Linked DNA regions of Caenorhabditis elegans. The protein of the gene in region 2 purifies or fractionates together with the protein of the main gene of each other region. This does not show direct contact. Each region holds a gene or a part of one and is shown on either strand. Other genes may lie near its edges. The genes, in order: oig-2 and Y69E1A.5.

What was found.
Region 1: the proteins of Y69E1A.5 (region 2) and oig-2 fractionate together in Caenorhabditis elegans (co-fractionation; one large-scale study listed by BioGRID). This does not show direct contact.

Annotation. Positions count from the first base shown.
Region 1 is NC_003280.10:13,006,058-13,010,133, forward strand, and holds oig-2 (Ig-like domain-containing protein), read right to left. Parts: upstream 2,108-4,076; 5' UTR 2,107-2,107; coding exon 1,997-2,106; intron 1,953-1,996; coding exon 1,862-1,952; intron 728-1,861; coding exon 602-727; 3' UTR 556-601; downstream 1-555.
Region 2 is NC_003282.8:10,956,357-10,959,733, forward strand, and holds Y69E1A.5 (Phosphatidylethanolamine-binding protein), read right to left. Parts: upstream 1,300-3,377; 5' UTR 1,288-1,299; coding exon 1,207-1,287; intron 1,162-1,206; coding exon 936-1,161; intron 815-935; coding exon 603-814; 3' UTR 507-602; downstream 1-506. Other genes in the region: Y69E1A.4 (Serine/threonine-protein phosphatase), read left to right, coding at 1-233; sri-19 (Serpentine Receptor, class H), read left to right, coding at 2,721-2,891, 3,342-3,377.

The DNA.
Region 1 (4,076 bases), on a different chromosome or scaffold from region 2:
ATTGTTCAGACTTTAGGCGACAAAATTAGCGCCACTTTTTGCCGCAAAATTAAAATTTTCAATTTTTTTTTTTTTTGAAAAATTGTACTTTTATATTTGGCACACTTCATAAAAGTCTTCAAACATTCCCATCTTTGATTCTGAATGTTTACCAAAGGAAATTGACATCAAAGTTTGCTCGTACGGTTTTCATACTATTCTGTACCTACAGTTTAAACTATCAGCCTGTAGTTCAGATGTCCAAACCAAAAGTCTAAACTTTTAAACTAGAATTCTTATCAACTTGAACTCTCGAACAGATCTGACTCCAACATGTCGCCAACAAAATTTTCTCAATCAACATTTTTACTATTCTGCACATGTGATCATTTTTATTTCCTTCCAAAAACCGATCTCCCTGATCGGGTATACTTCGTTTTTTGTTCAATCTGTTTTTCTGAACTCTACACTCAAAATTCCTAGTATTTTTGACATCTTTTCTCTCTATTTCTGACCTTCTTATCACATGATAACCACGTTGTTTCTTCTACGAGTGATATTAAGATACAGTATAGCGACGGAAAAGTTTATTGGAAGAAATATTAAAGAAATCTAGCAGAATTTAGTCAAGAGTCTTGAAAACCTCTTTTCCAGTGCATTTGTAGATGTACTGCTGCTCAACGGAGTGTGAGCCATGGGTGTTTGTAGCAGTCACTTTGTAAACTCCTTGGTCCTCTTGGGTAGGGTTCTGGAAACATTTTCTTTGTTATTAACTTATCTAGAATGCTCATTTCTGGAAATTCATATGAAAATATAGAGAAGTATTTGTACTTTTAGAAGATAGCGTTATTTTAGTGAAGATTATGAAAAAGTGATCAAAATTGGCATTTGATTTAAAATGTGCCAAGTGAGTATGCCGATGGGTGTTACGGCATTGAGGCAATTTTTTAGCAACTTTTTGAAATTTTTAATATAAAGTAATTTTATTTTCAAAAAGTATGAATATTCCCATTGCCTAATTTTCATCATCAAGCTTCATTTTTGAGCTGAATTTCAAAAAAATTGTATGTGAATTATGCTGATGATCGATGGTGAATCTACCCAGTTATGGTGCATCTGACAAGTTATGGTACATTTGACCAGTTACGGTGAATCTAACCAGTTATGGTGCATTTAACTAGTTATGGTACATTTGACCAGTTACGGTGCATCTAACTTGATATGGTGCATCGACGGTGAATCTAGCCAGTTATGGTGCATATTTATTTTTGTTGGAAAATTTTAAAAAATCAAAAATAGTGCATGAAAGTTGACGTTTGCCAAAAAAGTGCCGTTAAAAGTGTTTAGACAAACGACAACTTTCAGACACTATTTGAACTTTTTTTTCAAACTTTTCAAAAAAATTTGTATTTTTTCCAGATAGAACAAACCTTTCTCTACGTTTCTATGTTAATTTTGCATGAAAAAAGTTGGATTATCATTTTGAAATAAACATTATTGTGGGTTTGCCGAAAAAATACCGCACAGCCCTTAAATATATGTTCGATTCCGATAAATGAAAAAAAAAACTTTCCGAAATTGTATAGCCTATTTTCAATTTTTGTTCCTGCCGGAGACCATCCCAAACTTTCCAGGAACGGTTTTTAAAAGAATGGCCGACATTTTCTAGGTCAATAAATTGTTTCTGAAGTTTTTTACTTTAAAATAAATGTGAAACAAAATCTCGAGGCAAGTGTTTCGAAGGTCAATATTACACCATGTTCTTACAATTTAAGTTTCCCTCTAAAAACCAGATCAAGTGTTCTATCCGTTCCTTTCTTCTTATTCTCTTCTTAATCTAGAATCCCGATCAGTTTATCAGTATTACAAAAATCTTACTTACCTTGATATGCAGTGTAACTGTGAACTTGCCAACCATCTTCTTGATCTTTGACACGTAACGATCACCAGTCAGCTCTTTGTCTTTCAAAAACCTACAGTAGTTAAGGTTAGGGGTTCATAAACCAAAATCTTTTACCATTTAACTGTTGGTTGTGGATTCGCATTACAGATGCATTCGAACAGAACTGATCCGTCTGGAGCAATGATAAGCGATGGAGCTTTCTCGAAAAACGGAGCCAAAACCATTCTGAAACTAACCTTTTAGAACTAATAAGATGGCTGAACATATGTAATGAAAACGCTCGAAGAGCTTCTCACTGATCAATTCCGTCAGTAACAGGTGACGGAAGCTGAGAGATTTGAGGGGCAGAGATGGAGAGATGAGTAGGCGGAGGGAGATGAAAGAGCACTTTTTTCTGAAGCCAACATGTTTAATAATATTGAGAAAAATGTTGAGGGCATTGATTGATTTGTTGGTTCAAAGCAAGTCAATGAATTCGATACACGCGATGAACAGCAATTGAAATGGCATAGAATTAAAGTTTTGGTTAATAATTCACTTGATTCTATGAATTTTTTTAATTATTGTATTTTTCTGATTATTAACATATCAATTTCTTATTCTTATAGAGTATTTTATATTTTCAGTCATTGATAGGACTCCATACTTTCTGGACGCGAAAATTTCCAATTTTTTTTCCCAAAACTACCTTCTATGAAAAGTTATTTATTCATTGGAAATCTCGAATAAAATTATCATTTCAAACATTGAAAAATGTTTCAGCATTGAACGCAACAGTTTATTTTCTGTTTTTTTCTACTATAAAACTTTTGTAAAATCACTAAAAAACGAAGATGGATCCCACTTTAATATATTTATGAACTGAGTACTAAAAGAAAACAAAAATAATTGTATCCAAGTTTATTTGAATTTGTGAATGGTGATTTTGGTGCTTCTCTCCGGAGCTCTGCCTACACAGTGCGGCATCGGATACACTTCATCTAACCTCTCTACCGGTGTATTTTCGGCTCGCAAAAACAGTTCAGAACTAGTAATATTAATAAGAATTGGCATTCGAAGATACTTGGCGGCCCATATCGCATCTTTCAGTTCCTCTCGATCCAATGATTTAACATAGTCAACTTCCCACGTAGAAGTGCTCGGAACTTCGACTCGATGACGGATGCACCAGGTGACAACCATCTTCATGGTAATTCCTTTGACGTTCGGAACTGGTATCACATAGTTGGAAGCTTTTCCCTGTTGGACTTGGCTTGCCATCTGGGAGAGGATCTCCGATTGATTCGGTGGACATTTCGAAATAGTGATCGTCGAAAGTTTTGAGTCTATAGAGCTCTTTTGATGACATGATGTACCTGGAAATTTGAATTGTGAAACAGGAGGGGTTTATTAGGCTCCGCCCATATAATGGTTGTGGTGAGAAGTTTGGAGGAAGGTACGGAAAAAGATATCACAAAGACAAGGGGCAAAACATTTTTTTGAACTACTCTGGGCATTCTAATTTGCTAGAAAGAAATGCAACTCTGGGGAAAATATAATAAAAAACACATTTTTCTAGGTTTCAAAAAACATTTTTTTAAACTTTCAGTGAAACAAAATCGTTTCAAAATCGACTATACATATGCTTGTAACCCGGGGGGAGCAATACATAAATTTCGAAAAAAGTGAAAACTTCAATCAGAATCGAGCTGTCTGATGGAATGTAAATTATGGGTGTTTCAAAAAGAGCACGGAGACGTGGTCGTTGTGGAAACCTAATGCTACATGTAATTATAAAAGACACAAGAGGACTTGAGCCCGCTGAGTTGAAAAGAATATAGACGTTAACTTGAAGTGAATGAGATCAGAAGATACCTGTCGCTTTGCTGGAAATTTTTGCAAAATTGTACGGAATCAGAGAATTGTTTTTTTTTAATATTTGTCACCGCATTTATACCTTCCAGTTTTGAGATTTTTCGTGGGAATTTTTGCAGAAAATCGCAAAAAAGTTTCATGGAAAAATCTTTCAAAAAACCAACAATTCAGAACCTCAAATAATCAAAATATTCTGAAAATTCTGAAAGCCGAAAATCGCCAAAAATTATTTCAGTATCTAAAAACAACTAACAATTCAAAACCTCTGATATTCATTATATTCTGAAAATTCAAAAAACTACAGTTTCAGAAGTATTTAAATTTTCTAGAAATTTGAAAA
Region 2 (3,377 bases):
TGGATCTTCAAATGGTTATCCGTGGTCATCAAGTTGTTGAAGATGGCTATGAATTCTTCGATGGTCGACGTCTGGTCACAATTTTTTCGGCTCCAAACTACTGTGGACAGAATGACAACACAGCGGCTGTTTTTAGTATTGATAAGAAACTGAAGATTTCGATCAATGTCTTCAGGCCGGAGAGCAGAGACAAGAAACGTGGATTTGAAAAGGAGAGAAAGGCCAAGAAATGATCCTGAACTCGTTTAGACTTTTTATTCGTAGAAATAAAGAAATTGAAATTACTACAACGTATACATATCATGAAAACAATAGATTCATCAAACTTCGAATGAGTTCGATCTTTAGCTTTGCTCAAGTAACTTTTTCTTTACATTCTGTTACATTTTAACCACCTGGACTTATTCCTGTCATAATTGTTCCGAAGAAGTTATTAGCCAACTTTCGATATTATATTATTATTATATTATTTCCCTCGATTGAGCATGGAGTGAATTTTCAATAACCACAAAAATTAAATTTTATTACATAGAAATAATTTCAAATTAGAAAATGGCTATTTCGTTGTTATCCAATTATAATTACACATTAAATTACAATATTTATCCCTCGTGTTGAGCAAGGAAGAAATTTCCGGCAATTGGGTCTCCCAACTTGTTCTTCTCGATGAATTGTTTAACGTTGAACTTGGCACGAGAGCTAGGCTTCGGCACAGAGATGCGTCTTCCAGCGTGCTCCCACATAAGAATCACATAACGATGAAGATCAGTTCTTGGTCCTGGAGCTGGGCTTCCATATGCCATTTGATGTTGACCTGGAAAACATACATTTCGTGATCGTAGGTATAAGTGTGTCCTATTATTATCACCATCAACAATTTGAGAACAGAAGCCAGGTGAATTATAAGTATTCTCGCGTTTTATTATAGTTATTACCTCCGTTAATTCCATCAATAATATTGCTGGCTGGAATATTGCAGACAAGCCAGTGAAGCCACTCGGCAACAGATGGATTCTTTCTTGACAAGTTATCTGGATCAATCATAAGAACTGTGTAGATTGATTCTGGGTCAGCTCCTGGAAGAGCCCATCTCGGAGCATTTTTAAGGTTGCGAACTTGCATAGTCATTCCTGGCTCAACTTGGATTCCGTCCCAGCACAACTGAATTTTCAATGTTGTAGCAATTAACTTTTAAAAAAAACTTACATGAAGCTTCTGCTTTGGGGCATTTTCAATAATCTTTGGAGTAATCTCGTGTTGAGCAAAAGCGGCAGAAATGTCGGACATTTTTTATGTGTTCTGGAAGACGATTTTCAAAATGAGGTTATCAAATGAGAAGACTGAAGAAAACAAGAAAATAACGAAAAATAACAGGTGTTTCAAGGCGGTTTATGAGCAGACAACAACATGGAACAGAGAGAAAAGAAGATAAAGAAACTGGAGATGTGACGTGGGAACTAAGAGAAAGAGCATTGAGCACAATGTAATGGGGGAGGAAGGGGTGATGGATGGTAAGCGATGGAAATAAGAGCAAGATGTACAATGCAAGCTGGTGAATCAGAGGTGAAAAGTAATGGAACATACAAAAAGAGAAATACAACAACAAAAGGAAAAAACCCAAAACAATAAACGATTGGTTCCATTTGAAAAAAAATAGGTTGGAAGACAGTACTCAAACCTTTCTGCTAACCGAATGCCTACCTACCATTATGTTTACCTTCTACCCATACAAGTTGTTAACAGAGAGCAATGAGCGCAGGACCAATAGGGAAGAAATTAAAACATTAGGTTCCATGAAAAACGAAGCATTTTATTGGAAAACCCCATTCACCTCGGTAAAACTGAACTATTGAATGCTTAGCCCAGAAACTAAAAAAATAATTACGACGTCGGTTCATCTGGCAGTTATGAGAGTCATTCTACTGACTGTGATGTACTACTTATTACAGCAAAAAGGCGGGAAGAACTCAGATTACACTTTCATATCTTTCTTGTTCTTCATCTTTAACCCATACGAAAAGCACAACAACAGTTGACCGCCCCCATCTGACTCTAAATCTCTTCATTTGAACGATCTTTCCACCGGATGCCTACTCATCAGAGATTGAATGTGGTTTTCGAATGTTCTGATAAAATATGAAAATGAGAAAGTTTTGAACTGCTAAATTTCACGACTGTACTGAATTAGGTAAAAAAAATTACTAAATTTTTTTTCTATTGGACTTTGTAATTTTAAGTAGAATCTTCAATAGTAAAATGAAATACAGAGTTGCCATTCAACCAGCATACACCTTTAGCTAAAGATACTATTTTGTGAATTTTTTCATTTTTTGAGCTAAATTGTCAACCAAATAATTACTGATAAATTGAAAATTTCGACAATCTATACAGTTCAGAAGTTCAGACACATATACTCCTGAATATATTTATGAAAGTACAGTACTCTCTTCCTAAAACAATTGATTCGAAACGTTGTTTAACCACTTGACACCTTTCTATTTCAGCTTTCCAGAAGATATGCCAAGACTACGACAGGTGAATTTGGACGGATAACTAGCTTATTTTAATCAGTTACGCCCTTATAGTCATTTCTTTCTGACTCTTTTGCTCAAATCACACTCCTAATTTGTTTCAAATTCTCTAACTTCTTTCTTCTAATTTCTTTTCCATTTTTGATTAATCAATCATTCAAATCTCTTGAGCTGATTTTCAAAAGTCAAATGTATACATATTCTGAAGTGACCATTGATGTTACTAAACCAACTTTCCTATTAACTTTCTATTCAATTCATGGTACATTTGCATTGGTTTTCAACATTTTGGGAATATTTCTAATCATGAAAAATCCCAAGATAGTTAAAATGTATAAAGGATTTATGATTAATATGCAGGTAAATTAATTTTCAGTGTTAAAAATCACGAAAAAAGTTCACATGCAGTATGGAAGAAACCGTTAGTTTATTGGTTTGAGTGCAGCTGAAACAAATTTTGCAGTGGAAGTCAATTTGAAATTTGTAGAACCTTTCTATTAAAGTTCATAACATTAAATTTCCGCTTGCAAAATTTCCGCTAGTTTTCACCAAACTATTATAGAATAATGCATGAAGTGCAAAAAGAAGCAAAGTTATGAATTTTCTATAAACAGCATTTGAAAAATTCGATTACCAGTGGAATCAAACTTATTTTTTTTATTCAAAAAGAATCAGAAAAATAATTATGAAAAAAGGTCAATAAACTGGAACATCAGTCACAAATATAGTGCATTGAGTGAGTAACAAAAGTCGTTTTGCAGATTTCACCTGTTGAAGTCTCAGAAATTAAAATAAAGATCCAATTTTAAGATTCTGTCTCTATTGGCTGACGCTCAGACAACACTG